Stegostoma tigrinum: one gene and its partners. The protein of the gene in region 1 purifies or fractionates together with the protein of each later gene. This does not show direct contact. Links are inferred from orthologs where the notes say so. Each region holds a gene or a part of one and is shown in the gene's direction. Other genes may lie near its edges.

The links.
Region 2: the proteins of chromatin complexes subunit BAP18-like (region 1) and bptf purify together in Homo sapiens (affinity purification with mass spectrometry; 5 studies listed by BioGRID and IntAct, with this or other methods). This does not show direct contact. The link is inferred for Stegostoma tigrinum from reciprocal best matches to the Homo sapiens genes BACC1 and BPTF.
Region 3: the proteins of chromatin complexes subunit BAP18-like (region 1) and SWI/SNF-related matrix-associated actin-dependent regulator of chromatin subfamily A member 5 purify together in Homo sapiens (affinity purification with mass spectrometry; 5 studies listed by BioGRID and IntAct, with this or other methods). This does not show direct contact. The link is inferred for Stegostoma tigrinum from reciprocal best matches to the Homo sapiens genes BACC1 and SMARCA5.
Region 4: the proteins of chromatin complexes subunit BAP18-like (region 1) and hmgxb4a purify together in Homo sapiens (affinity purification with mass spectrometry; 4 studies listed by BioGRID and IntAct, with this or other methods). This does not show direct contact. The link is inferred for Stegostoma tigrinum from reciprocal best matches to the Homo sapiens genes BACC1 and HMGXB4.

Annotation. Positions count from the first base shown.
Region 1 is NC_081398.1:7,353,527-7,361,329, reverse strand, and holds the start of chromatin complexes subunit BAP18-like, read left to right. Parts: upstream 1-4,443; 5' UTR 4,444-5,793; coding exon 5,794-5,814; intron 5,815-7,803. Other genes in the region: rnaseka (ribonuclease kappa-A), read left to right, coding at 1-7. UniProt on the Homo sapiens protein: Component of chromatin complexes such as the MLL1/MLL and NURF complexes.
Region 2 is NC_081375.1:10,335,088-10,343,438, forward strand, and holds the start of bptf (nucleosome-remodeling factor subunit BPTF), read left to right. Parts: upstream 1-4,986; coding exon 4,987-5,473; intron 5,474-8,351. UniProt on the Homo sapiens protein: Regulatory subunit of the ATP-dependent NURF-1 and NURF-5 ISWI chromatin remodeling complexes, which form ordered nucleosome arrays on chromatin and facilitate access to DNA during DNA-templated processes such as DNA replication, transcription, and repair.
Region 3 is NC_081354.1:14,750,612-14,758,032, forward strand, and holds the start of SWI/SNF-related matrix-associated actin-dependent regulator of chromatin subfamily A member 5, read left to right. Parts: upstream 1-4,319; 5' UTR 4,320-4,513; coding exon 4,514-4,651; intron 4,652-7,421. UniProt on the Homo sapiens protein: ATPase that possesses intrinsic ATP-dependent nucleosome-remodeling activity.
Region 4 is NC_081391.1:4,173,057-4,180,763, forward strand, and holds the start of hmgxb4a (HMG domain-containing protein 4a), read left to right. Parts: upstream 1-4,480; 5' UTR 4,481-4,551; intron 4,552-4,859; exon of another isoform or gene 4,860-5,327; intron 5,328-7,707. UniProt on the Homo sapiens protein: Negatively regulates Wnt/beta-catenin signaling during development.

The DNA of each region.
Region 1 (7,803 bases):
GCGCTAAGACATCTCATTATTTATTTAAAGTGCTGCCACCCTCTAACCCAAGCAACTGCTGTTACCTTTTTTAAATATTCAAAGATCTCTCTCTCTCTCCCTCTCTCATCAATTGTTGAAACAAAAATAAAATTGTACTTGAAATTTAAATGATGTGGTGGTGGGTGGCATTCAGATGTGTCTGAATAAATGTTACAAGGTGTTTGCTTGAAAACTTTCTTGTGGGAACCTCTTGTTGAAAGACTTTTTTCTTTTCACCTCCCTTGCCCCGTTCTCATTGTCCCTCTGGAATCCTTCCAAGTTGTGTATTCATCATTACATGGTCACACATAAGCCGCATCAGATTTGGTGGTACTTTGAAGCCTGACAACGTCAAAGCCATTTTGTTGCCGGAGTGGGTGAGGTTGGGATGGAAGAATAGGCTGTGGTGTTGAAACTGTGAACGTCTAGTTTGTCTTCCTAGATACTCTACTGTGAAGGAATGTATCCCATTTGGTGGCAGGACTGTTGTGATGCTTTTATTTTTGGAGTTAGTGGTTAGAAGGAAGGGGAGGACTGTCTCGCAGGACTTTTGGGGTGGTCAGCACATTAATTTGTGTAAAAGCAAAATAGTGCAGATGCTGGTAGTCTGAAGTTTTTAAAAAAAACTAATTCTGGAGAAACTCAGCAGGCCTGGCAGCATCCACGGGAGGCGTAAACAGTTAACACTCCAAGTCTTGTATGACTCCTCTTCGTTTCCAAAGAAGAATAGTGTTGAACTCAACATTAACTGTTTTTTGTCTCCCCAGATGCTTACCAGACTTGCTGAGATTCTCCATACTTTGTGTCAGATCCCTCTGGCATTCTATAGGTGTTGTACTCTTGTTGCTATGGTAATAGGCCTGCTTGGAGTTGGACTAAAGCTTCGAGGCCTAACCATTGCTGAATAAGGGCAGGGGAATTTCCCTGGCCATCTTTCACCCCAGTGTTTGTTTTCAGGACCAAAACTAATCTTGTGAAGGAAGCACAGGCAAAGCAAGGATCTGGACTACGGTTTCTGTTACCTGATGAAAATTGGAATCTCTTTAAATAATTTTCTAATTTTGCAGAAATAGAGGGGAGGAGAAACATTGACGCTTGTATTGCACATCAGTCAGTGTCAGTCACTGACCCATCCGGATGTGTTTAGAGAGTGATTTCAGAAGATTCCCATTTCCTTTCCAATTCCATTATTTCACAACCAATTTTTCATAGCAAGAGAAGTCTACAAATATTAATGTAGGACCTTGAGTCACGAGGCCCTGTCTGTTCATGAGAAACTTTTATTTTTGTCATTTTTTTTGAAGTTATAATTTGAGTAGTTTGTGTTGATGTAACTGTGGAAAACAAATGTAAATGATCCATTATTTGAAATTTTAGAATAATAAAATGGATGAAATTCACGGTATTTGAGCTTTTTTGTCATTTGAGTCTGTAAAGAGACAGCCTGATTGTGCTGTATGACAACAATGATTCTAAGCTGTAACGTAACTATGTGGCTGGCAGTTAATTGTCAATCGTCATTAACACACCCTCAGAGGCAATGTAATGAAAGACAAAATCTCAAAAGCAACTTTGATTTAAATTTTAATGTCATTGTGGGATTATGATTACCACTGAGCCCCTGCATGTCCTGTACATGTCCTTACCTTTGTACTAGAAGGCCTTAGTTCAAATCCAACCTGCTGCAAAGATGTTAGGATCATGGAGCTGTTATGTTGCAGGAGGACATTCAGCCCCTTGTGCCTGCATGCCTTGTTAAATGAGCATTTGTTATCCCTCTTTATTCATTCACAGGATGAGGATGTCACTGGCTAGGCCAGCATTTACTGCCTATCTCAACTGCCTTCTGGGCAATTAAAGAGTCAACCACGTTGCTATGGGTCTGGACTCATGTAGGCTAGGCCAGGCCAGATCTAGTAAGGATGGCAATATCCTTCCCTAAAGGATATTAGTGAACCAGATGGGTTTTTCCTGACAACTTGCAATGGATTCAGTCAAAATTAGACTCTTAATTTCAGATATTTACTGAATTCAAATTCCACCATGGCACGATTCAAACCCAGGTCTTCAGAACATTACCTGGGTCTCTGGATTAACAGTCTAGAGATAATACCACTAGGCCATTGGCACTAGGTAGTAATGCTCACGAAAGGCAATGTCCTGCTTTTCCTCCCATATTCTCGCACACTTTTTTTTTCTAATCTAATGTCCTCGAGTGCCTCAATTCAACCTCCCTCCACCTCCTGGCAGTGCATTCCATAACCTAAATATTTCATCTTTCCTCACTGTACCATTGCTGTTTTAGTGAATTACATTATACTTTCTCATTCTTGTTAATTTATACAAATAGGAATAGTTTTTCTCTAGCAACTCAATTCAGCCTGTTCATCATTATGAAGCCTCTATCAAATCTCTTATCAGCAGAAGGTCACTCCAAACAGAACAATGTCAACTTCAATATATCCTCCTGACTGATGTTCCTCATCCTTGGAACCATTTGAGGAGGCAATGACCTAGTATCACTGGACTGTTAATCCAGAGACACGGGTAATATCTGGGCACCAAGGTTTGAATCCTGACACAGCAGATGGTGGAGTTTGAATTCCAATTTTAAAAAAACAAAAATCTAGTCTAATGACCATGAATCCACTGCCAACTGTTGGGAAAAATCCATCTGGTTTGCTGTTGCCCTTCAGGGAAAGAAACTACCATCCTTTACTGGTCTGGCCTAATGTAACTCCAGAACGATAGCAGTAGTTGAGCCTTAACTGCCCTCGGGTAATTTATCTAGGCTGGCATTTATTGTCCATCCCTGTGATGTCTTCACCCTGTGAATGAATTTAACAAACTGTTCTTGTAAGCCACATTTGCATTCTCTCCAATGCATTCACGTCTGTACGATAATGTGATGCCCAGAACAGTATACTATACTTGAGCTGAAGTCTGGCAAATGTCTTGCATAAGTTCAAAACCACCCCATTGCTCTATGCCCCTACTAATAAAGCAGAAGACACTGTATCCTGACTGCTCTATTTCTGCCTGATATTCACTTTCAATTATCTGGGCACGCATACCTCTGCTCAGGTCCCTCAACTCCTGCAAACCCTTTAGAACTGTACCATCTATTTTATATTGCCTTTCAATGTTCATCCAGCCCATGTGATGCACAAGTAATGGAAAATATATATGATGTACACCAGCAGTCCTTAGCCACAGAACTCTAATCCTCTCTTCCTAGCTCTTCTGACAGGCAGAAGATACAGAAGCTTGAGCACAAGCACCAACAGGTTCAAGAACAGTTTTTTTCCCTGCTGTTATTAGACTCTGACTTCAAATAATCAGAGATAGCAAGAACTGCAGATTCTGGAGTCAGAGTCAATACAGTGTGTTGGTGGAGGAACACAGCAGGTCAGGCAGCATCAGAGAAGCAGGAAAGTTGACATTTCACGTTGGGACCCTTCATCAGAGTCTGATGTTTCTGACCTGTATTCATTTAGCTCCACACTATAGTAACTTCAAATAATGTTGCTTGTGTCAATGTTAATCTTGCTTTGCATGCCTCCTGTGAGGTGCAACCTTGTAAGCCTTATTCTGACTAAGCGGAATCTGTATGTCCTTGTTTGCTATGATTTTCCCATTCTCCTGGGAAAACAACAATTTTCACTGTACTTAGCTCCATGTGACAACAATAAATTAAATCAAATCAACATCCAAGGCCTACCATGATCACAGAGTGCTGCCTCTCTGAGGTGCGATGTGTAGCCAGGGATGATAGGCTGGCAGTCAGGTTTCGGATGACCTTCCCCCATTGCCTGGTTACCTGTCCACACCCAGGCACATATCTAACATGATAAGATGGCGGGTACATGACGTTGTTAATGAAACAAAGTGTTATTTTCTGATGGCAAATTAAGCGGAAAATGGCACTGAAAGAAATGTCAGCACTTTATACATATACTACAAGACAACTGGACAACTTGTACATACCGGGTTGCCAGATCTGATTGGACATCTTCCCGCCTCCAACGATTCCCGTCCACGCTCTACTCCAATTGGTTAATAGAGGCGTCGATCATACATGGGCCCCGCCCTCCCCGTTTTCTCTCCATTGGTCAATCCAGTTCCAGTGACGTTGGGAAATAGGATCGCTGAGCAAAGGGGCGGGTCGAGACTTTCCAATGGATTGACCTGCAGACCAACCAATCATTCAGGGTAAAGGGGGGGTGTCGGTTGACAGGCAACGGCAGGAACCAATCGGCGGGCGAATGGGAAGTGCGATGACGGGGCCCAAAGGTGCATGATGACCTCAACATTGATGGACGTCGGGTCAAACCAATGGAAAACAGTATCGGGAAGGCGACTGTCCAATGGAAACGGAGTATCTCTGAAAAGGCGGGATTGAGTGGATGGAGGTGGGTGTTGGGGAAAGAGGGTGAGAACCGATTGACATTTGCCAAGGCCAATCGATGGGCAATTGGACAAAGCCTTCAATGGAAATGAAGCTGTTGAATGCGGGTTTAAGAAGGGGGGCATAAACAGAAATTGGTCGAAAAACCCTGCAGGTGTCGCAGCTTCTGCACAGAGAAAGAAGAGTTAACGTTTCGAATTCAGTGAGGTTTCTTCAGAAGTGAGAGATGCCATTTGATTCACGTAGCCGCCCATTCGAGGCTTGACCGCCAAAGACAGTCTGACGATCGAGGGCGGGACTTTGCGTGTTGATTGCTATCGGCTCTTACCAATCGGAAAGGTGGATAGGAATCATCTCTACAATGAATAAGCAGGATTGTTGATTGACAAAATGTAGACCAACCAAGATGGCGCACCGGATGATGCCGTCCAATAAAGCCGCGCGGATTACGGAGGGTGGGACCAGAGGTGCTGATTGACATCCATCTTGTCCAACCACCCTGCGTGTCCCGGAAGGCACCCGTCCAATGGAGCAGGGGGTGGAGAGTGATAGACATCTTTCTTGGCCAATCGCTGCGGAGACAATGTGTTGCCGTTGGAGACGCGGGCCGTCGGCGGATGTGGAAAAGGCCGCGGCAGTAGTGAGGGTTTGGCCTGTGCTGTGAGGGTGGTAGAGGGACAGGGTGGGTAAACCTGGGGAAAAGTGGATCCCGGCCCTGAGCTTCCAGGGAAAAGCTGTCAATCAAACCCTTGGAGGGAGTTTTTGGGGGGAGGGGAGAGATCCTTCCCACTTGCTTCTTGCATTGCAACTTCAATAACAACTGAGGGGGAAAGAGATGAAAAGCATCTAAAAAAAATGCTGGCAAACTGATCATAAATTCTTGTTGCACGTGCACTGCATTGATACTATCTGTTTTGATATCAGTAACAAACTCCCTCTCATCACACAAAGAGACCAAAAAAAGAAAATTAAGCATTTTATCTTAGTTTTGGGGTGACCCATCTTCAAGTTTGCACAAAGTAAGGGGGCAATTGTGGTGCAATCTTGTTGCATAACATCAGATCACACCAGTATTGGGTTGTTAAAGTGGAGCTGGAGGGTTGTTCGTTGGTTGAACAGTTGGTTGTGGGATTGGGGAGTGGTAAAGAAGATCATTTCAGGTCCCCCCTCACTTGAAATTGGGGAAGTACCTTGGATCAGGCGTTGGCTATCCCTGTGTCACACGTCAGGCTGTTTGGCATTGATCGGTTCGAATTTGGGCCCATCTTGGGTTCTGGAAATCTGCTAAGAGAGTTTACCCTTCCTTCTGCAAAGTCCCTGGGCTTAGGAATTGTTTCTCTCCTGACTGTTGGAACACCAGCAGGATGACCTCAGCGTCAACCAAGGTAAGCGTAGTCTCTCTTATTGTTTATTATAAAAGATTTTGTGGTTTGGATGTGGGTACAATTGGCTGAGCTGACCGATAGCGCCTATATCGAACTACCCTGCAGAAGATGGAGGTGACTCCCCATGCTCCTTGAGCTGCTACACTGCCATATCTTGTAGATAGGTTCACTGTTCTGTTAGGGAGGAAGTTCTAGGATTTTGATCCAGTAACACTGAAGGAACAGCAATTCATTTCCAAATCAGGATGGTGAATGGCTTAGAGGGAGAACTTTCACGTGGTGCTGTTCCTTTGAATCTGCTGCCATTGTCCTTTTTAGATGGCAGTGGTTGTGGGTTTAGAAGGAGTCTTCAAGTGTCTTGGTGAATTACTCAGAGATGACTCGTGGGTTGTCCACACAGCTGCTGCTGAGCACCATTTGTGGAGGGAGTGAATGATGAAGTGATGATTGGTGTGCCAATCAAAGCACAAGAAGCTTTTGATTGTCTTGAGTGTTGATCTAGTTGTAGTCAGCTAGGCAAGTGGGGAGTATTTCATCCCACTCTTGACTTGTGTCTTGTTGGAAGTGAAAAGGCTCTGGGGAGTCAGGGAGTAAGTTCTTGAATTTCTTACTTTAACAGCGACAATATTTATGGTCCAGTTAAATTGCTTTGGCCAGTGGTAGTCCCCAGGTTATTACTTGGTAAGCAAATTGTAGCCTTGGATTGCCATCCTATTGCAGTGACATGCAGTTCAGTGAATTGAGAAAAATGCCCGTTAAGGTGTACTTGACATGTGTCTGAGTTGCTTCGCATGTAGAGTAGACACAAAGTGGACCTGTCTCCTACCATCACATCTTCCCGCCTCCTCTTGCCCCATTCCCCTCCCTCCCACCAAGTCTCTTCCTCAAAAGGCGATGGAAGTAGTGACTAGATGGATGCAGATAAATTCTTAATAAGCAAGAGGGTGAAATGTTTTGCGTTAGCTAGGACCATGGAATAATTGGATAAGCCATAGCTGACCAGGCGCGATGGGTTGATTGGCCGATACCTCCCAATTTGTACATTCATCCAAAAGCAAGATGAAGATTTACTATTCTGAGGAAGGGTCACCGGACCTGAAATGTTAACTCTGACTTTTTTTTCACAGACCTGCTGAGCTTTTCCAACAACCTTGTTTTTGTTGTTGAAGATTTACTGATACTGACTACGTAGAAGGATTAGAGCCTAGGAATAGGAATGCTTTGCTGTAGTTTTACAGGGCCATGGTGAGGCCACACCTTGAGTATTGTGTGCAGTTTTTGCCTCCTAGTCTGAGGAAGGACATTCTTGTTATTGAGAGAGTCCAGTGAAGGTGCACCAGACGGATTCCCGGGATGGCAGGAGTGACCTATGAAGAAAGATTTGGATTGATAGGACTTGTACTCACTGGAATTTAGAAGAATGAGGCAAAAATCCCACAGAAACATATGAAATCCTGATTGGACTGGACAGGCTAGATGTGGGAAGGATGTTCCTGATGTTGGGGGAAGTCCAGAACTAGGATTTCCAGCCTAAGAATAAAGGATAAACCATTCAGGACTGAGATGAGGAAGAATTTCTTAACTTCGATTTGTGAACCTCTGGAATTCTTTACCACAGAAAGCTGTTGAGGCCAGTTCATTAGATATCTTGAAGAATGAGCTGAACATAGCTCTTGTGGCTAAAGGGATCAAGTGTATGGAGAGAAAGCAGGAATGGGATACTGAAATGGCATGATCAGCCATGATCGTATTGATTGTCGGTGCCAGCTCGAAGGGCTGAATGGCCTACTCCTGCACCTATTTTCTATGTTTCCAAATGGGACAGAAAGACAGGGCTCACCGGCCCGGTGCAGTGGACTCTAGCCTGGGCACTCAGCTCACTTGTAATTCCGCCCAAGTCGGCATCTCGGAGTGTGAATCTGGAGCCTGTTGTGGTTGGGGGCTTGGGGGTGATTGGAGAATTCCATTTGTGGCTGGTGTGTGACACTG
Region 2 (8,351 bases), on another chromosome or scaffold:
ATTGGGGATGTGCAGGAATGAGGTTGAGGCATCATAAGAAGTACACAAGCCTCCAAACATCTACCCAGACCTTCAAGCATTACCTGACATGCACATGGCAAAGTCTGCAACTCACACATTGGATTTAGAGGTATCTTAGGACCCAATGAGTGGAAGCAGGTAATCTATGATTCTGAGGGGTTGTCCTTCTACATGAAGGATGTTGATGGAGTGATAGAGTGCAGAAAAAAATTACAAGCATATGTAACTGGAAGGTTGGGGTTATAGTGAGAGACTGAATGGGTCAGGCATTTTCCCTGGAGTGTTGGAAGCAGAGGGTTGACCTTATGAGGGGCATTGAAAGGGTGAATATCCATGGTCTTTGTAATTGGGTGGGGGTATCCAAAACTAGAGGGCACAGGTTTAAGGTGAGAAGGGAAACATTTTCATGCAGAGGGTGATGCGTATATGGAATGAGTTGGTAGAGGAAGTAATGGAAGTGGATACAATTACAACATTTAAAAGACATCTGGATGGGTATATGGATAGGAAGAGTTTAGTGGGATATGGACCAAATGCTGGCAAATTGGATTACATCAGATTGGGTTTGCACAGATGAGTTGCCTGAACAGTCATTTTCTTGCTTTGTGACTCCATGACTCTATTTTTGTCTGAGAGAAGGATAGAGCTAGGGAGAAATGGAAGATTACAACATTGATTTCCAATGTCAGGTGGGACAAGAATGCCAATTCCTAAATGAGTTGGGTTAGGGAATGGCGGGGGGAAGGGGAGGTGGTGTGTACACCAAAGACTTAATTTACTGATTGGCGGTCCTGTTTATACAAATCTGTTATAAGAATATGGGAAACAGGAGCAGGAGTTGGCCATATGGCCTTTCAAGTCTGCTCTGTCAATGAATTGTTGAACTTCTACCTGACTTCATTTCCTTTCTTATCCGCTACATATTTACCCCAATTGTGATACATAATAGTTTTGCTAAAACAAAATTATTGTGGTAACCAAGTGCCCAATTTTAATGATGAAACAAATGGATAAAGACATCATAATTCGTATCATATCATATCATGATCCATATCTGAAGAAGGGTGCCAACCCGAAACGTCAAACTTTCCTGCTCCTCTGATGCTGCTTGGCCTGCTGTGTTCATCCAGCTTCACACTGTGTTATCTCAGATTCTCCAGCATCAGCAGTTCCTACTATCTCTGTAATGATTCATATCATAGTTGAAGACAATATATTGCGAAATGCAGGTCTCCTTAATTTATAGGGGTAAAGTAAATTGCATACTATACTTTGTATTTTTTATTAAATCCACAGATCATACGTTGTCATGTTGGGTTTATAAAGTAGGAGACTGGGCTATCTCAGAGTCTATCCATTTGCCTTCTTAATTACAGAAAGGTGATTTTTCTTCTTTGTTAATTCTATTGCATGCTTACTTACGTGGGGGTGTGACAAGAGTTGGTAGCAACGAACGGTGATAGTTGATCGTTAGGCACTAATAGGTCCAGTAAACTTCCAGTTCAGGGGTCGTAGGAACTGCCGATGCTGGAGAATCTGAGACAACAATGTGTAGAGCTGGATGTAGAGCTGCTGTGTTCATCCAGCTCTACACCTTATTGTCTCCAACTTCCAGTTTAATTCGTTACTGCCTTATTACGTTGACGCCTATGGTCCTTGTTTGGGAGAGTTCCAAAGATAGCGGTGACTCCAAAATACCTCTTTATACGTGTGAGTCTAAACAGAGTATCAGCGAACTATATACTCACAGACAGATGAGGCTGAACTTGACATTCATATTTGCAGGCAGCTGTGAGACTTTGATCAGGATCTTAACGTCTTTACTTCAAAAAAGTAAGATTTTGGGTTGAAGCAAAAATATAAAATGCTGGAAATATTCAGCAATTGAGCCTGTAAGCGAGAAGAGACTAGCAGAATTAATATTTAATGTTGATAACCTTTTGTCCACTCGTAGCTCAGCTAGCTCCTTGAAGGCTCCGCGGATTTCTAGCTGGGGAGGGAAGGGATCAGAAGGAAGCCTGTTCTCTAAAGGGTTGCAAGATAAGGACTGAATTGTGCCGAGCGATGAAAACAAAAGAACAGGGGAGAACTCTGCGCTGAAGCGCTTTGGCTTTGCGGAATTTCTTGCTTTGTTTGTTTCACTGTAAGGGTCTCTTTCATTGGTTGTCATTGGAAGACTGGGTGTTATGAGAGTGCTAATTGGCCATGGTTTGCTGCCGCCAAGCTCCAATTGCCCCGTGTCCCTCTCCCCCAAATCTATTGACTGTCACCCACTTGGTGGGGGGTTAAACCTGGGCTCCGTCAGGGTGCATTTCACTTCGGGCTCAAATTTTGCAACCGTTCGGCGGAAATGCTGCGCTTTCCTGCCCTGTCCTATCCGGCTGGAGATTAAAAAGAGCAACCAATCGTGAAAAGCAAACATTCTCTCGCGTTTGTTGCGGAAAGCACAAGTTTCCGTTCGTTTTGCACGGAGGGATTTGATGCAAAGTTTTTCCTTTCACCTCACAATCGTTGTTCCATAATCCAGCCCCGCGCGTTATTTGCAAATACAAAATCTCAAACATTCAGAAAAAATTTACAACGTTATTGCATTGCGCGAAAAACAATTTTCTTTTGCATTTTACTCGTTCATACGTAATATAAGCAACAGCGTTGTCATGATCATAGAGTCTACAGCACAGAACAAGGCTATTCGACACATCTTGTCTGTTTTCGTCAAAAAGAAACACCTAACTATTCTAATAGATTTTTTCAGCTCATGCCTTGCCATCGCAGATGCACATCTAAAGCTTTCTTAAATGTTAAGAGTTTCTGCCTCTGCCACACTGATGGGCATTGAGCTCTACATTCCCTCAGTTCTCTGTGTGAAAAAGATTTTCCTCACATCTCTAACTCTTCGACTCCTTAGCTCAGATCTATGCCCCTTGTTCATTGATCCCTTCATTGAGGGGAGAGGTCTCTTCCTGAATACTCTTATGTCCCTCATAATGTTATAATTCTCAGTCAGGTCTCCTCATTCTCCTTGTTTATGTTTTATTGAATCTTGTTAGGTATATTGATATACATATATATGACTGTATTTTGGGTATTTACAAGGCTTTGTTAAATACACAACTTTACCATTTTTATTTTGCATTTAAATCGTTTGTGTTAAATGGTATAAGACTACATTGTTTTTACTTGCATTTTGCAAGGCTTTGTTAAACATTAGATTTCACAAATTTTTGCACATATATATAAATTTGCAGGTATCCATTTGTAAAACTTCTTTGTAAGTTCATTTCACTAGTTAAATATAAAACATTGCATTAATAAAAAGCAGAAAATGCTGAATATATTCAGCAGGTTTGGCAGCATCTGTGGAGAGTAAATCTGAGTTAATATTCAAGTTGAATCTAACTACCAGAATCCACAGTATTTTGCTTTTATAATAGGTTTTCTTCCTTCACTTCTCACAAATCTGTTAGATATATAGCACATAAGCACTGCAGTATTTTTCTTTTGCTTAAAAGTCCCTTACCGATATAAAACATTATTGTTCTATTTTATGAGCTTTTATGAAATTTTTATGAAATTGCTGGAAAAGCTCAGCAGGCCTGGCAGCATCTGTGGAGAGAAATCAAAATGCAAGTTTTCAGTCGACTCGTCTGAGTTTTTCCAGCAATTCCAGCAACAGGTCAGACGAGTCGACTGAAAACTTGAATTTTGATTTCTCTCTGCAGATGCTGCCAGGCCTGCTGAGCTTTTCCAGCAAATTCCATTTTAGTTTCTGATTTACAGCATCTTAAGTTTTTTTCCCTTTTTTACTTAGTTTATATATATTTTTCTTTCAACTTTTACAAATTGATGTTAGATCAATTGTTGGATTTGTTTTTATGAGTTTTTGCTTATGTATGTTTTCTTTTACATTCTATAAGTTTGTTATATATACGAACAGAAGTAGGTATCTAAATGTTCCACCACTCATTTACAGGTTGTGGTTGATCATTTAACTCCACAACCTTTTACTCCATGGTACAGTTTGGAGTCAAAATCCACAAAAGACCATAGCCATATCTATGCAATGGGGAGAATTAGCTTGGGGGTAACCACCAGAAAGTGCAGAATGAGAAACCAAGTCTCCATGATCTCCATCCAGTGTTGGGATTGAACCTCTACTGGTTTATTCTGCACCACATTTTAATGTACAAAATGTTGCATTTCTATCTTGTTTTACGTCTTGCTGGTAGATTTTTCTTTCATAATTTACAACTGTGTAAGATTTGCAATGTATAAAACATTGCAGTTTTTCTTCTGTTGCATTTTCCCACTGTTTGCTTATATTTAGTATCGCATTCAACAAATTTCTGTTAGATACATCACAACAGAAGCATTGCACTTTTTTGTGTGATGAGCCGTTGTGTTTTTTTTGCTTATAAATATATATAGGCTTTGGCATTTTACAAATTGATGTTCGCAGTAAAAAAAATTGCTGGCTGTGTTTTGATAGCTTGGGTGTGGGATTGTGACAGGGCCGGAGTTCCGGGGTTGCTGCTCATGCCAGGTCCCGGGAGGCGGCGCGCGCGAGGTGCTGGTGGCGGTGAAAGAAGGGGGGGGGATCACGTGACCAGTTGACTGGTTGACAAAAATGGCGGCGATCCCCGAATACAACATGGATGCCGGAAGGTTGGAGTGAAGCAGGGGGCGACGGACGAGAAGGAGGAGGAGGGGGAACAGAGAGAGGGGGTAAAAAAGGGAAAACAAAATAACAATAAACACATCGAGGCTCGGCGCCTCCCGCCCGGCATCTGCGGAAAAGGGAGGCGGGAAAGAGAGTCTCTGAAAATAATAATAATAATAAATCCAAATCTTTCTTCGCCCCTTTGGGGTGGGAGGGTTGAGGTGGTTTTGAGGGGAAGGTGAAGGAGGCAAAGGGGGGGTTAAAATAAAGTGAGGCGGAGCTGGAGGGGGTGGGGGGGGGTCACCATGAGAGGAAGGCGAGGTAGGCCGCCCAAGACGCTCGATGCTTCGCCGGCGGGAGGTGGCGGGGGACCGGCCGGCAGCCTGAGGTACCGGGCTACCGGGGTCGGCAGAGGCAGAGGGGCAGACCGGAGGCTGAATCACGCCGAAGCTGGCGGTAGAGGGAGCCGGACCTCGAGAGGCGGCAAGGCGGGGAACCGGGGCAGGGCCAAGGCCGCGGCTCAGCAGCAACGGCAGGGCAGCCGCTCCCGCAGGCTGACCGTCAACAAAGTCATCTACGACGACCACGAGAGTGAGGAGGAAGATGAGAGTCTGGTGTCCGAGGAAGAAGACGACGACGACGAGGACGAGCGGGAGAACGACGACGAGGACGAGCAAGATTCGGATTATCACCAGGCCACCGAGGAGGAGGAAGAGGACGACGAGGACGACGATGCTAGTTATTGCACGGAGAGCAGCTTCAGGAGTCACAGCACTTATAGCAGTACTCCAGGTAATGTTTCCAACATCACCAGAATCCCGTCCCTTTTTATGTTGAAGAATGTATTGTTCGATGACACCTATATGACATGTTTGGTTGGACTGTTTGGAGATCCCACTTTGTCAGATAATTACATACGCAATATTCATCAAACTCTTTCTGCATCCGTGCATGCAACAGTTGCCATGAAATGAAATTTGCGAAATGCGACTTAAGTGTTAGGAAACGTAATCTGACCTAAACTGTCATTATGATCCAGAGTTGCATTAGTTTAATCGTGCGGAGTAAGTAGTTTGTTGCAGTGATGCTGAATGGTTGGGATGTGTCTAAACTGTACACAAACTGTTGCTCATCCTGCTAATGAGTTGACTGTGGGCTTGGGGAAGAACCTCTGTGACAACTCGGCAGTCCAATTGCTTTTGACATCAGGGAAACAGTTTTAAATCTGGTGCTATTTTTCAATCTTAAAATAATTCTGTTTTATTTGGTCAGTTATTCTAATATGAGAAAAACAAGAAAAGAATGAAAATGTAAAACTGGGAATTTGAAACAAAATAATTGGAAACTCCAACAATAACTCAGTCTTAGTACTAAATTATTTTGTTTTACCTGGCGAAAAACAGAAAAGTTTCAAGTCAAGATCCAATCATCAGGACAGTTTAATAGTTCTTATGAAATAAGAAAACACAGGCATTCTCTGGTTTATATTAGATTTCATAATTTTTAACAACTGTGATTTTAAAATTGTTGGAGGATTTAAAAAGTCCTGTGCTTTGGAAAATAATAGAGTATACTAAATATTTATCACTCTCTTATCAGAATTAGATGTTCACATTGTCTGTAAATTTGAAGATGAGTTTATTTTCAAATATTAAACATTATACTTATTAACAATCCTGCCAAGCTTTAATTTCCTTGCCATTTGGAAAGGTTAAACTGTCTTTGATTCTTAATCTTGTATTGTCAGTAATGTGAAAGATGAGCAAGGATGTAGGCTCTCCCTGAGAATCAAATTGACACTAGTTGTCATTTTAGCTTTTAAACTTATGACATGCCTCCATCACATTGAGAGATAGGAATTGGACCTTGATCTTCTGACCCAACCATAATTTTAGTTGATGTAGCTATGTACCACAATTCCTCATGAAAATAGTGGTTGATTAATTTTGATGTGCCCAATACCTTTAGTAGAACGCTGCATATTTAGATTATGAATATTCCTCCTGTTCTGCATGCCAGTACCTCTTTTGGGTTTTAGTTCTTGCCAGTGGTGGTCATAGCGGTTTCAATTCTTTTGACCTCCTTCCATGCTTTGTGTGCTTGCACGTGATGTACAATATTCTGGTTGTATTTAATCCCAGGCTAACTTTCCTCTCCTTCAGCAGGGCAGTTTGAAAAATTGAGCACTCTACCTCTGGAGTATTTCCTGACTGTTTATGCTGAAACCCACGTCCCTGTTGTTATCACCCCAAGAATATTTGTTTCATGTTCCCAACCCTGGCATATCTGCTTCACAGACAGTAGCCTATTAAGAACTCAACCTAGGACCTCTCCAGTAGTATTCTACATATCCGTTGCCAGTTTCCTGGAACGTGTAATTTCGGCATCCACCACATTAAAACAGTTAAGTACATTTGAGGTTAAATCTCATCTACATGGTAAGCAACCCTCTCCAGTTAAGTCTCCATTGTGGCCCATGGATCTTCAATATTTCATTACTTTGTCCATGAGCTTTCTGTCACACCTCTACCAGCCATTACTTTAATCACAATGGTCCAGATCTTTGGAACTCATTTGGAAATATTGTTACACTTTTACCTTCCTTCAAAAACCGATGTTATTTTCTCCTTCCAACCTACTCTGTCTATGTCTTTACCTCTACCACCCGTATCACAATGCACAGACTTCTTGATTCTGTGGCATCATTTGTAAAATACATAATTTTTCTGAGTGGAATTTGAAATGAAAATACAGCCATTAGGGTAATGATAATTTGCTTTATAACAAGCAAAAAGGTTGCTCTAAATTTCTTTAAAGTGCCATGCACCAAATCACTCCAAATCAAAATTTTGTTTATGTGTATTTGTGGTAAGTACTGATCAATTAATGTTGTTCCTCTTATTTTGTATCTGTTTATAGATGTTTTGACAAATATTTTGGTTCATGAAGTAGGTCGAGACTATCCCTCTAATAATGATATTTGCAAGTGAAATGTCAAACACTTAGTGAATTAAATGCTCAATGTTGCATTCTTCAGTGGACTTAAAACAGAAATGCAGTCTGAATGGGCAACCAGTTTATTAACGCATTCTTTTCTGAAAAGTCATGGAAACAGGAGTTGGCCATTCAGTTAGATTATTTCTGATCTGTGATTTGGTTCTGCGTCTTTATCATGCTATATCTGAACCACATGCTCGTAAGCTAACTGCTCATCATTTGACCTGACAATGGTGTATGCTCATAATGTCTTATAAAAATTGGATTTTAGTACAGTTGAAAGTGGAAAATATATAGTGCAGCTCAGCAGGAGGCCATTTGGCCTAATCACTCTGCTTCTTTTGGAGATTAATCTGGTTGGGTCCCCTGTTTCACTCTGTCTAATTTTCTGTCTTCTTCCCCACCCAAAACACAGTCTTTCACTATTTCTGTGCAATTTTTTTGTCTCCATGAAATCTTCGTCAATTACTGTTAGTAGGCCATTGTTTATTCTGTATCCACTACCCAGTGAGGTATCTCCAGTCTGTTCATGTAACTAATCCCTCATCCCTGAAGCTATTCTAGTAAATTGCTCTGTACCCTCTCCAAAGCTTTCATGTTCTCTCTCATGTATGGAGTCCGGATTTCTGTGTAATGCTCCAGCTGGGGCTGAGGTAGTCTTTTTCATATGTTC
Region 3 (7,421 bases), on another chromosome or scaffold:
TGTGTGGAAGAGCACTTTTGGATAAAAAGGAAAAAAAGAGAAAAAGAATACCACCATCATAAGGAGGATAAGCTAATGCAGGTATGTCAGGTAGTAAGGACGGTAAAGGATGCAATGGATGGTGAGAATAAAGCAGAACAATGACTGGACAATTGCCAAAATAAACTGTTTGCTAGCTAACTATGCTTTCCTATGTAGAGATAGAAAAATGAAAAAGACTTAACAAGGATGTTCATAACAGTTAATGTACCAATCTTTGTACTATTACTGTTCCATTGATGGATTTAATGCAAAACAGAGCCAACGTAGTCTTGTTAGTTAGGTGCCAAGCAGCTGTTGAGGCTGAAAGCAATTTTGATCAATGAGCCAGTGTTAACTGCTCCTAATTTTACAAAAACTTCAGAAAGCTTTATTCATATAACTGCTTTAGCACTCAATTCAAGGTTTTTTTTTCATTCTCTTCACTAAATTGCCTATGGTATTTTCTTTTCATCTATTAACTACCACCTTTATCACCCAATCCAAATGATTACATTTATGGAGATGGTATTGCTTCAACATATAGATATGACACAGCTGAACCAATGTACTTTACCAAACTTTTTGACTATACTATATGGACAGCTGAACCATTCTTTAAATAGAATCCCTGCAGTGTGGAAGCAGGCTATTCTGTCCATCGAGTCAACACTGACCCTCCGAAGAACATCCCACCCAATCCTGCTAATGCCATACTTTACATGACTGATCCACCTAACCTACACAACCCTGGACACTTTGAGCAATTTCGCATGACCAATCTGCCTAATGTGCACGACTTTGGATTGCAGGAGAAAAACCAGAGCACGCAAAGGAAACCGCAGACTGTCGCCCAAGGCTGGAATTGAACCCGGGAACTGTGAGCCACCATGCCATCCCAAATTATTCATCTTTTGAAGACAGAAATACGAGCATCACCTGGTTTTGCTCTTCAGGATTGGAGCCAGTTATTGCCCCATTTCATCATGGCTCGGGATGCTCTAAGATGTTAATGAGATAATTTTCAGGCTTCTTTGAGTTATTCCTGGATTGCATAAATACAGTGTAATATGGAGGATTCATCCCACTATTCTATTTCTTTATTTCTCTATTTCTGTAACAAAGATTTTATACCAAGGTAAATCTTACCTAAGATGGTGTCTTGCGTGGCAACATTGTGTGATTGTCACTGCGCTCTTGAATGCCGTACTTGAGTACGTGACAATAAAATCTAAATCTAAATTTAAATCCAATGTTGCAATTGATACCAGTGACTTAGGGTAGGTAAGGTCATATTACAAGATGAATTGGGTTTAGAGAAGTCAGTGGGATATGTTTCCAACAACTTAAATCCACATCAACAGAGACACTCTACAGTAGGGAAAAAAAAGGGATTACTACTCCCCTTTGAGCATTTTGAGGTAAAAGTCCATCATGGCTGCAGGGAAGTGGGAAAATTTTCAAGAAACAAAATGCCAGGCTATTTCTGTGGAGTTTGCTATTACAGGCATATCACTTAAGAGTCATTGACACTGCAGCAAGAAATAACGTCATTGCTGATGTTCTGTCAAGAATGTAACTTTATTCAAATTATCAAATAATTAAGTATCGAGATAACCGCACAAGATGCAGGGAAAAGTGACTGAGAATGCGTGTAAATTTGTCTTAAGTTTTTGTATATTTTATTCTTGTTTAGACTGTGTAATTTCAAATCACTTTTCAAGACAGGTGATGTTATGGATGCTTTAAATCTAATTATTTTTGAAGGCTTTATGAATACTTGGATTCTTAAAAGTGGTTAATGAAAGTTGTAACAAAAATAGAAATTGTAGGAAAAGCTCAGTATGTCTGGCAGCATCTGTGAGGAGAAATCCGAGTTAACATTTCGAGTCCAGTGACCCTTCCTCAGAACGGATGGTAGCCAGGAAAATGGATGTTTATATGCAGGAGAAAGGGTTGGGGGAGAAGGTTGGGAGTAAACAATAGGTGGGGATGAAGCACAAAGAGAGAGAACAGTTGGACAGAAAGTTGTATTTTTTTTCAATAAATGTCTCTTGAAAGCCACATCTTGTGAAAACTGAGATAACAAGGTGTAGAGTTGGATGAACACAGCAAGTCAGGCAGCATCAGAGGAGCAGGAAAGCTGACGTTTTGGGTCTGGACCCTTCTTCAAAAATGAGGGAGGGGAAGGGGACTGGAATAAATAGCGAGAAAGGCGAGGTGCTGATAGAAGGTGGATAAAGGAGCAGATAAGTGGAAAGAAGACAGACAGGTCAAGGAGGCAGGGATGAGGATAATAGGTAGGAGGTGGGGGCAGGGGTTGATCAGTGAGGTAGGAGGAGCGGATAGGTGGGAGGAAAGACGGATAGGTCAAGGAGGCGGGGACGAGCTAGACTGATTTTGTGATAAAGTCCAGTGTGGGGAGATTTTAAAGCTTGTGAAGTCTACATTGAGACCATTGGGCTGCAGGGTTCCCAAGTGAAATATGTGGTGCTTGTGAAAACTGCTTGTTTACTGCAAACGCTCTGCCTGTGTTTACAACTGTCGTATTGCAGAGTCTGCCTTGGAGATTATATAGAATTTTTTGTTGACGGCCAGCCTGGGGAAGGAAATGAACTTCCCAGACTATCTCTCCTGTTTCTGAAGTGACATTTTATTGTAGGTTCATTCTGGAATGTGGAGCCCCGATCCAGTCTTAACACTGATTGTGCACCTGACAGTGATTGGAAGAATCTTCAACAGTGTTTTTCTGAGCAAGCTACATTGGCAAAGAAACCAGATACAATCACTGGACTTTCTTGACTGTCCTCTGGATACCAGAATGTCAGTTCAACGTTCCACACCTTATCTTTTTTTGTAGCCATCAACAACTAAAACCTAATGCCCAAAGCACCTTTGTTTCCCCAAAATGCATCTCTACAGCGTGCAATGATTCTTTTTCCCTTACCCAGCATGTTTTTGCACTTTTCCTTCCATGTTTCATTATTTCAGAGGTGAATTTTTATATTTTCAATTGCAAACTAAGTCTGTTAACCAGTGTTGTAACAACCTGAATAAGTTTGTTTATAAAAATCAATAATTTTGTGTTGCTTGCTTGATTTTAAGTTTAATATAGAATAAGTGCATGACTCATCATTTAAGGAAGCAGGAAATAATTAAATTTATGTTTGATGCAGCAGGACTAGAACCACGTCCGAAATAACAGGATTAGTGGTGCTAGATAATGGACACTTCCAACAATACTTTCAGGAACTAACCAGGAAATATGCTATTTGAGACACTAATATATAAGGTAGGATTAATTAATAACTTCATTGTAAAAGATCACTTGGGCAAGAATAATCATATGATAGATCAAGAGTGATTAAACAATAGAGAAACTAAAATGACGAATGGTTGATAAGTCTCTAGGACCCATTGACCGGCATCTTAGCTTCTTAAAACATGTAACTACAGAGTAAGTGTTGGATTGGTTATAAACTTCCAAAATTCCACAGATTCTGGAACGGTCCCAGAGATCGGAAAACTGCAAACACAAGAACTCAATTTCAGAACAGAGGCTCAAAGAAACCAGAAAACTATGGACTTAGACTGTAGTTTTTCGTCATCTATTCCATTCTCCTTTTATTCCCTCCTACTACCTTCCAACCTGCCCCTTCACTATCCTACACCCTCCACACTGCCTGGCCACCTCTATCCCGTTCCCTGGACACTCTTCAATCCCTCCTACTTCACTCCTTTACACATTCCATGCTGCCTGGGCTACCTCCTCCCTGCCGCCTAAAGATGCCTCAAACTGTCCCAGCTCCCTGACCCTTCACTACCCTAGACCATCCACAATGCCCAGCCACCTGCACCCTCTTGCTTCTCACCGCCCTGCAACCTTCCACCCTACACTCTCCTGCCTCTCTGCAACCTTCCACCCTGCACTCTCTATTCCCGCCACCAGACTGTTACTTAGCAACAGTTCAAACCAAAAGTAACAATCCGGGTAGGTTCTCGCGAGATAATGGGAACTGCAGATGCTGGAGATTCCAAGATAATAAAATGTGAGGCTGGATGAACACAGCAGGCCAAGCAGCATCTCAGGAGCACAAAAGCTGACGTTTCGGGCCTAGACCCTTCATCAGAGTCTCTGATGAAGGGTCTAGGCCCGAAACGTCAGCTTTTGTGCTCCTGAGATGCTGCTTGGCCTGCTGTGTTCATCCAGCCTCACATTTTATTATCTAGGTTCTCGCGAGTGCGGTCCCTGGGGGAGAGGGGGCGGAGCTACGTCTGGCGGGATTTGGCGAGGACGTTATCGCGAGAGCCGGGCAGCGGCGGAGGTGGACGAGTAGGCGGTTGAGCGGAAGATCGGAGCCGGCTGAGGGGGTGGGGGAGCCGGAGGAGCCGACCCGGCGGCAGAGTGGTGTTGGAGGGAAACGGTGTGAGAGGTCGGCTCCGGTGAGGCATTTTCAATTCAACCGTGGGGAGGTGCGGGAAAGGAGAACGGAACATGTCGGAAGCCGAGGAGAGGCCGAGCGCCAACTTGAACCTGAACCCTAACCCGGCCGACGGGCAGGTGGAGGAGGCGAGCTCGAAGCTGGGGGCGATGGCGGCCGAACCCCAGATGCAGACTCCGGGCACGGACCAGGTGAGAGGGAGAGAGATCGGATCCGTCGACAACCCCGTCCTGCCCGCCGCGAGAGCGGCCGGTTACCCGCCTCGTGTTCATCTTTATCGGGTCCCCCGTCATGTAAACAACCCCGTTCCTTCCATCCCCGGTTTACCGCCCAGGTCCTGTCTGCCCTGATAACGGGTGGTGGGAGGGAGGATGGGGTCCGGTGAAGAATACGGTCGCCGGCACTCGGTGTGTGTGTTGGGGGAGGGGGAGAATAGACTTGGTTCGTCGCTGACGGCGCACGCGCAGTCCGCTTCCCCTTTCCCCCTTCTTTGTCTGATCCTCGCCCCCTATCCTCAGGAGGAATCCTCCACCCGGGATCCGCTACGCCAACCCGCGGAAGGTCCAGAGGAGCCCTGAGGGCCTCTGGAAGCCACCGCGAAGAAATAAACGGAGGGTGGGGAAGGAGGAAAGGATCAATGAATCTCCATGGCCCTGCTTCGTTCGCTCGCTTCACTTTTTCTCAAACACACACACTCCAATCACCTCTACCTCCCACTCCCCACAGCTTCTACCCTCCAAAACGCCCCCTCATGCCCTGTTTAACCCCTTTACACTCTCTCCCTCCCTAACACCCCCCTTCGTATACCTTGTTTAACCCACATTTTTCTCTCTGTCTCTTTCACACTCTCCCTTTGTCCCTGACACAGAATCCTTTCACGTTCCTCTGTCACCGTAATCCCTTATGTCCCTCGTTTGCCCTATCCAGCATTAGCCCATCCCCAAATCTCCACCTCTCTTTAAAGAGACGTCAATGTCTCGGCCAGTCACCTCCATCTGCTAACTTCAGAAAGTACTCATTAACGTTTTGGGGCCAACATATCTGATAGGGGCTAATTGCAGTTTTAATGCATTTTATTCTGGGTCTGATTGCTGGTCAGCAGTGAGTAGTTTTGTTGGTGCCCCGTTGTCATTCTTCTGTTATTGCTGCTCTTGGTTTTGTAGAACTGTCTGTTCATTCAATATTTCCTGATTCCAATTTGGAATATGACCCACTTATTCAGCAGGGCTGGTTTTGGTCTGAACCCCAAATGTCACTTTACTGTCGTTCCTCCGTGCTAGTTAGCTGTGTAAAAGGTAAATTGTTTAACAGTTTTGGGTGAACTACTGGCTAAGCTATTTGTAGCCAATCAATATATTTACTTTGATGGAAGAGAATCATCCTACAAGGTATTGTTTCCAAGGCAGAATGTTCATTATGCCAGTTTCCATCTCAAGATGGTGTGACAGTGGTTTGATGGAGATCAGGCAATTTGTTTTTTGTTTTAGTTAGAAATGGAGAGAATAATTTTGATCAAAAGACGTGACTCCTTTAATAAACTGGAAAATTAATTTATTGGTACATGAACCTCAAATACAAGGAGTTACACTTTGAAGGAAAATTTAAAAGTTTGCACGATGCTAGAAAAAAATTGCAACAAAGGGATCTCGAGTCCATCGTTGTAAATATAAATGCACATTAGGAAGACCATTTTAAAATTGTAACCTAAGCAGTTGGGTTAATTTCTTGGTGGCTTACCTGACATAGACTGGATGAGCACAGGTGGCTCATCATCTCAAGATTTGAAATACTGAAGGCAATTGTTTCTAGGCCCCACTGTGAATTCTGTTCCCTAGCCACCAGATGCTTCCCCCTCATGGTTGCTTTCTGAGAGTGAGCCAGGGAATTTAAAACTTTTTGACCTCTGACTGTGTATTCACACTGTTACTAAAATATTCCACTTCCACTTTAGTAGCTGAAACCTTTATTGACATCATAACTGTCCCATCTTTATGGCCACCCTCCCATTTTCCAAACTTCATAAACTTGAGCGTATTTAAAATTCGATCTGTATTGGCACTCAATATGTTTGCTGATTATGCTGTACCCTAATCATGCAATACCTTGATTTTTAATATCTTCATCTTTGTTTATGAATGCCCAGTACTTTTTCTGTAATTGCCTGCAATCCTACCAGGTCACTCTGCTGTTCCATTTCTGGCTTCTTGCACATCTCTCATTTTAATTATGTTTAGCTATCTAAACGTGAGCTTCTGAAATACTCTTTCTAAAATTTTCTGTCCTCTAAACTGACCTGTAGATTACATTGATCCTAATACTTCTATCTGTGGCTTATTCTCAGTATTATACGGCAATGTTCCTGTGAAGTGCTTTGTATGTTTTATGTTAACATAGTTTAATCACCAATTTTGTATTTATACTCTATCTCTCAACCTGTTGCACAATTCTGGTTTCTATTTTGTAAAGAACTATGTAGGCCCTGGAAATGATGTAAAAGAAAAACCCACAAAGATATACCTCAAGAAGCTACCCTCTGAGGAAATAGCTGGAGCTATTTAAGCTCGGAGAGGCTGGTGCATGGCCTAACAAGTATGTATGCATACATGCATGCATGAGCTAGTTGGACTACATTTACCTTTTGTGTGCTTCCATGTATGACTTACGTAACTTGTTTTGGACCTAACTAGCTACAGCAGTTAGTCTGAAAGATACTTTGACCCCTTATGAACTGTTATAACTTCCTACTTCTTGTGAGCCCTAACTCTGTAGTCTTTGGTTCTCAGTCAGAAAGTGATTCAATTAGCACATGAACGTGTTGAGAACTGAAATTGGGCCTAACTCTACATTGTCAAGTTTGTTACCTTTCAAGTGAGATGGAATGGAAGGGTATTATTAAACTAGAGATGATTCAGATAAGACTCATTAGGATTTGTTGAGAATGGAGGGTTTGAGATATAAAAC
Region 4 (7,707 bases), on another chromosome or scaffold:
AGAACTGATGGTGGCTGGGAAAACGTCAGTTTATATGCAGAAAATAGGGAGGTGGGTGGGGAAGGGAGTAAACGAGAGGATAGGGCCCAAAGAGAGAGAAAAACAGTTGGATAGACAAAGGAGGGTGGGTAGTTGTTAATGGGGGCTGTTATTGACTAACAACAGGGAGTGTGTAATGGCAGGCTATGTGGTAACAAGGCCTGATGTGTGGGGTGGGGGGCGGGTGGCTGGGACATGGGAGAGTTTAGGCCCTAAAATTATTGAACTCAATATTGAGTCCGGAGGACTGTAGGGTCTCCAAGCGGAAAATGAGGTATTGTTCTTCCAGCTTGTGTTGGGCTTCACTGGAGCACTGTAGCAAGCCAGAGCCAGAGATGTTGGTCAGGGAGCAGGGTGATACATTACATTGAAGTTGCAGGCAACAGGTAGTTCAGGGTCTCTTTTGCAAACACAACATCGATATTCTGTGAAGCGGTTGCCAAGTCTATGCTTCGTTTCCCCAATGTAGAGACCACATTGTAATCAGTGAATGCAGCAGACTAGATTCTTGGAAGTGCAGGTGAAGTGTTGTTTGTTCTTCTTCAATTTCACTGCCCCTCTCATACCCCACTTCCTATAATGACTCTATCCCATTCTCTCAGTTCCTCTGTTTCCATCAGATATGTTCAGATGAGGCCCACTTCAACAAGGGAGCCTCCAAAATGTCCAGCTTCTTGTCGTGCCGAAATTCGTCTGTGGAGAGAAAGCAAGCTAGCATTTCAAGTCTAGATGACTCTAATGAAGAAAAACCAAAAGATCTGCGGATGCTGTAAATCAGGAACAAATACAAATTAGCTGGAAAAGCTCAGCAGGTCTGGCAGTATCTGTGAAGGAGAAAACAGAGTTAACATTTTGGGTCCGGGGAAACATTACCTGAAACTGAACACAAAATATTACCTCTGTTTTCTCCTTCACAGGTACTGCCAGACCTGCTGAGCTTTTCCAGCAACTTTGTTTTTGACACTAATGAAGAATCTGATGAAGAGTCATCTGAACTCAAAAACATTAGCTTGCTCTGTCTCCATGGATGCTGCCTGACCTGCTGTGATTTTCAGCTTTTTTTGTTTTCAGTAACCCATTTTCTCACTCTTAGCTCTTATTATCTCTTATTCAGTTTGCTATCTGTCTTGGCCTGATATCCATTATCTTCTTGTTTACCGGCCCCTTTCATATCTCTATCTCTGGGGTCTGTCTCCACCTATCTTTTCATCACCCCTTTGTCCCCAGTTTGGCTTCAGCATAAATGCCAGTTTTCCTAGCTGCCAGAGTCACCAGACTCAAAATATTAACTTTTCTTTCTTCCCAAAGATGTTGCCAGATCTGCTGAGTTTCTCCAGCAATTTCTGTTTCTGTCTTTTAAAAACCGGCAAATCCCTCTGTGCTGTAATTATCTTCAGACTTTCTCCATTAAAATTATGTCCAACTGCTCTATTCTTCCTGCCAAACTACATAATCTCACATTTTCCCACATTATATTCAGTCTGCCAAGTTTTTGCCCATTCATTCAACCTGTCTATCTCCCCTGTAAACTTTTTGCGTTATTGTTCATAGTTTCTCTCCCATCTATTTTTGTCCCATTTGCAATCTGGGTTCTCCAAGTAATTCAGCTATGGCCCAACTAACATCTTATGCAGCTCCATCATAACCTCCCAGTAATTGTATTCAATGCCTTGACTAATAAACACAAAGAGATATTGCTGGAAAGCTCAGCAGGTCTGGCTGTGTTTGTGGAGAGAAATCAAAGTTAACATTTTAGATCCAGTGACCCTTCCTAGGAAATGAGATGACAAAGTGTGGAGCTGGATGAACACAGCAGGCCAAGCAGCATCTTAGGAGCACAAAAGCTGACGTTTTGGGCCTAAACCCTTCATCAGAAAAGGGGGAGGGGGAGAGGGTTCTGAAATAAATAGGGAGAGAGGGGGAGGTGGATTGAAGATGGATAGAGGAGAAGATAGGTGGAGAGGAGACAGACAAGTTAAAGGGGCGGGGATGGAGCCAGTAGAGGTGAGTGTAGGTGGGGAGGTATGGTGAGGATAGGTCAGTCCGGGGAGGACGGACAGATCAAGAGGGCGGGATGAGGTTAGGAGGCAGGAAATGGAGCTGCGGCTTGAGGTGGGAGGAGGGGATAGGTGGGAGGAAAACAGGTTAGGCAGGCTGGGACAAGCTAGGCTGGTTTTGGGATGCAGTGAAGGGAGGGGAGATTTTGAAGCTTGTGAAATCCACATGATACCATTGGGCTGCAGGGTTCCCAAGCGGAATATGAATTGCTGTTCCTGCAACCTTCAGGTGGCATTGTTGTGGCACTGCAGGAGGCCCAGGATAGACATGTCGTCTAAGGAATGGGAGGGGGAGTTGAAATGGTTCGCAACTGGGAGGTGCAGTTGTTTATTGCGAACCGAGCGGAGGTGTTCTGCAAAGCAGTCCCCAAGCCTCCGCTTGGTTCCCCCGATGTAGAGGTAGCCACACCGGGTACAGTGGATGCAGCATGTGGATGTGCAGGTGAACATCTGCTTGATGTGGAAAGTCATCTTTGGGCCTGAGATGGGGGTGAGGGAGGAGGTGTGGGGGCACACTTTCTCCTCTATCCATCTTGGATCCACCTCCCACATCTCCCTATTTATTTCAGAACCCTCTCCCTATCCGCCTTTTCTGATGAAGGGTCTAGGCCTGAAACGTTAGCTTTTGTGCTCCTAAGATGCTGCTTGGCGTGCTGTGTTCATCCAGCTCCACACTTTGTTTTCTCAGATTGTCCAGCAGCTGCAGTTCCCATTACCTCTGATACAATTTTAACCCTTCCTATGAACTTCGGGAAGGGTTCTGAAGAAGGGTCACTTGAGCCGAAATGCCAACTCTGATTTCTCTCCACAGATACTGCCAGACCTGTGTTTGTATTTCTGATTTACAGCATCAGCAGTTTTTACCTCTACTAATAAAGATCATAAGACCATATCACACAGTAGCAGAAATTAGGCCACTCGGCCCACCAAGTCTGCTCCGCCATTTAATTATGGCGGATAGGTTCCTCAGGAATTCCATAATAAAGGCAGGCATTCCTTATGCATAACCACAGCTCCAAGATTTACAATCTTGGAAGACCAACCTTTAACTAATTTCTATTTACTTTATTCTGAATGTCATTTTGAATTGTGGGTCAGCTGGCAATATTGGCAGAGTACAAACATAAAATTGATATCAACACAACTAATAGAAAAGGTGTTCGTGCCCTTAGATAAGCCACACCCCAATTACCTGCAGGGGCCCCAGTGGCCTAATGGATAAGGCACTGGCCTCCTAAGCCAGGGATTGTGGGTTCGAGTCCCATCTGGGGTGTCCAATTTTTAAAGCCTACTTGCTCTGCAGGGATCTTGAATGTTTCTGACGTTCACTTCTCATCTACTCTGTCAAACTCCCTGTTCCTACGCTGAGATCGTAGCAAAGGATGGTTCAATAAAATCTTGAACAACGCAATTGAAGGAGTTTGGGGATATACAGAAAATTGGCTGAGTTTTTCACACAGACAGCACAGCCACGATGGGCTGAATGCCCGCCAAGGTTCAATTGCTTTGTTCTCATTGCAGTTTTGCGCAATATTCTCCACTTACTCAGAAACAAATGATTACTGGAGCAGAAAGATTAACTTTAATTTCTCTTCCCAGGCGCTGCCAGACCTGCTGACCTGTTGCAGCAATGTTTTCTTTCTGCTTCTGATTTACAGCATCTGCAGCTCCTTCGGTTTTCACCTCCACTTTCATTCTCCCACTTACTGCAAATACCTTCACACTGCTGCGCAAAATAGCAACGAGTAGCCACATCTTTCTCCTGTCTGCTCGGAGGCGAGATCAATTCATCAAGCAGCCAGCAATTTAGCATTTAAAATGTGCATGAGATGGAAGGGGAAAAAACCCAATCAATTACAGTATGAAAAAAAGAACACCACCTCGAGCGAAGTATTTAAATGCTTCAATTTCCATTTAAAACACGTAGCCCCAGTGGCCTAATGGATAAGGCACTGGCCTCCTAAGCCAGGGATTGTGGGTTCGAGTCCCATCTGGGGTGGGTTGAATTTACTTTACTTACGCTAAAGTAACTTTTGAATAATTGTTCCTGACTACGTTTCTTCAGAATTTTGATGTACGTATTTTACTTTCAAACCTTTTTGTTGATATTAATTCGGAACTTTTTCTCATTTCATTTTTGAATTTAAAACGTTTAATGAAATGTATCCACTTTTACGACTACATTCATAGAAAATTTTATGATTTTTCTACTGATTTTATTGGAATTTATTTTCTACAATTATTACTGTCAGATTTATTGTTAGGCATCTTTTTCCAGTGTCCTATGTTGAAACCGTGTAACTTTTACCTTATCCTTCTGCCTCCTGTAGGAAACATAATGTAATTACAGTTATTGTTGGCGTTTTGTTCGAGTTAGAAACATACACATACATTAACATTGATTATTTCTTTAATTTTATCACGTGTTATCTGATGAGGAATTACTCGCCCAAAGGTGAACTATGCATATTTGTGAAAACAAAATGTCATTTGCATTAGAGATAGCAGGAACTGCAGATGCCGGAGAATCTGAGATAACAAGGTGTAGAGCTGGATGAACACAGCAGGCCAAGCAGCATCAGAGGAGCAGGAAGGTTGACGTTTCGGTCCCAGACCCTTCTTCAGGGGAAAAAAAAATGTTTATTTGCATTGTTGAGGGTAACAAACTAATAGTTGAGAACGTGTCATTAGTGAAATATGAGCATCTGGACTGTTCAGTTTCCAGCTACAGCCTGGGATCCTCTATGTCACTTTAACTTAGAGTCTTGTCCAGACGGTATCCATTTTTACAACCCATGTTAGAAGAAGACTAGCGAGTACAAGGCAGTGACTTGCGTTGTTTACGTGATGAACAGTCCAAGGCGAAAGCAATTCGTTACTTGAGTTTTCTTTTCATACTCGTGTCGTGATAATGCGGTAGTAGTGAGACCGCAAGTGGTGACATTAGGATGGGAAGCTAAACTGTTGGAAAAGGCGGACCTAGAACTTCTGTAGAAAATGTATGATTTATGCGGTCTCGTGGCTTTTCCAAATTGCTTCCAGAATGATTAAGTTGTAGAAAGTTGGACAAGGACTTGGAGGGTACTGTGAATAGTACTCAGCCCGCGGCGGGGGAATGGATCGATGTGCTCTGTGCTCGTTTATTTCCGCCTGCTCGTGGCCTCTCCGCTTCAGTCTGGCCAAGATGGCGGTACTTGGCGAGGGATGGCGGCCCCAGTTGGTGTCTTTATGGTGAGAGTTTCAGTTTGACAAAGCGTGGGTTTGCGGGCGTCTCCCGAACCGTTAAAACAGTTAAACTCCGAAAAACCGGTTCAGATCCCCTGGGGAGCGGCGGGAGGAACGGTATCCGGTAGGCGGCCAACCTTATCGGACAAAGCAGCGGTGTTTCCTGGATGCCGCGGCCGAGGAGAGCGCGGTCGGTGGGCGGCTGCTGATGGAAGGTTTCGGGCGGATGAGCGTCGGAGGGTGGGGGAAGATGGGCGCAAAGATTGAGAAAGGGCGGGAAGGCAGAGCTGTCTAGGAAGAAGTGACAACCTCTGGGCAAATCTAAAGTCAAATATAGCAGCATGAAATTTAACTTTTATAATTTTAGTATTTGTTGTGTAACCAGTAAGTTATTTTAAATTGTGTTCATTTTTTAAAAAAAAGTATTCTTTTCCGAATTACATTCTTCTTTGAAATCCGAAATTAATCCATGGATGAGGAAGTTTTGCCTCTCAATGATAGTCTGTTTTGATTATTATGTAGATATATATTGGGGAAACTTGGTGACAATTGTGATGCTACAGAGGGTATTGCCTTAATTAGACGATAGAATAAATCACACAATTGTGGATGCTGGAAGTCTGAAACAAAAACAGAAATTTCTGGTGAGACTCAGCAGATCTGACAGCACATATGGAAGGAAAGAGAGTTGACTTTCGAGTTCAGTGATTCAGTTTTTTGTTCAGACCTGTGGAGTTTCTCTGGTATTTTTTATTTTGTGTAAGAGGGTATTATTTAAGAGTTTTCAGGACAGAATCAGGTCATTTGGATAAACTGGCCTGAAATATGTGTGTCTGTATTAACCTCTGCCCATTCCTCTTCACCACATGATGTCCTCCTTTTCTCCAGCATGTTTATAATGCATCATTTCCCTCCAGTCGTTTTAGCCAAGTCCCACATTCTCCTGTTTTTCAATGACTTGTACGCAGTACTCCAGAAGTGGCCTTATTAATATCCGGTACAACCTCAACATGATGTCTTAGCTGCTATACTCCTAGACAAAGCGATGAAGACAAGCGATTAAGACAATGCTAAACCACCCTGTCAACTTGTGTTGCAACTTGCAAAGAACTGTGTACCTGAATGCATGGGTCTCTATGTTCAACAACAGTACCCAGGGCCCTACCGTTAACTGTATAAGTCCTGCCTTTGGTTGTTTCAACAAAATGCACTGCCTTGTATTCATCCAAATTAAACTCCATCTGCCAAACCTCAGCCGGTTGGTGCAATTGATCAAGATTCCTTTGTATTCTTAGATAACCATCAGTGTTGACTATATCACCAATTTTGGTGTCATCTGCTTACTTACTAACCATCCCTCCTAAAATTCTCGTCCAAATTGTTTCTATAAATGACAACCAAAAGTGGAGCAGCTCCAGTCCCTGTGGAGCACCGCTGGTCACCGGCCTCCAGTCCGAAAAACACCACCACCACCCTGTGTCTCCTTCTGTCGAGCCAGTTTGTCTCCAGTTGGCATACTCTCCCTGAATTCCATGTGATTTAGCTTTACTTATTAATCTGTCATGTGGAACCTTGTCAAAGGCTTTACTGTCGTCCATGTAGCCAATGTGTACGAATCCTTTTGGTTACATCCACAAAAACTCAGATTTGTGGGGCGTTGTTTCCCAAGTGCAGAGCCATTTTTTAAGACTCCTGTTCTGAACAAGACTGTATAGAACTGGAAAAGTTAACTTTGTTTCTCTCTCCACCGAAGCTGCCAGACCTGCTGAATTTCTTAAGTGCTTTCCATTTCTGTGCCTCTTACCACTGTTCATCTAACTCAAAAAGGTTCCTTTTGTGATAGGAAAATAAGGAACAAGACTCGACCATTCTGCCCCTGGGCCCTATTCTGCCCTTCACTTGTTGTGGCTGATCTATTCCCTCAGGACACTTTCCTGCACTAGCCTCATATTTCTGGATGCTCATAGCATCCATAAATCTCTACCTTGAATGTACTCGACTGAGGATTCACAGCTGTCTCTGATTTTAAAAAAAAATTCCAGAGTTTTTAAATCCCTTCAAGTGAGCAAATTCCTTTTCAGTCACTGCAAAATGGTCAACAATTTATTCTGTGAGCATACAGTTTGTTCCCAATCTTCCCACCATTTCCCTGCCGAACCCTTTGAGAATGTTACATGCTTTGGTGATCACCTTTCATTCATTGAAACTCTGGGAAATGCAGACGCAGTCTGCTCGGTCACACCTCAGGACAATCCCCTCATCCCAAGAATCAGACAGTAGGGAGCCTGCCAAATGTCTAGATTTTATGATGTTCCCTAAATATATTGGCAAGGACTTGCAAAAATCTAATGCATTGACAAATCAAGGCCCTTTTGTAGGCGGGGTG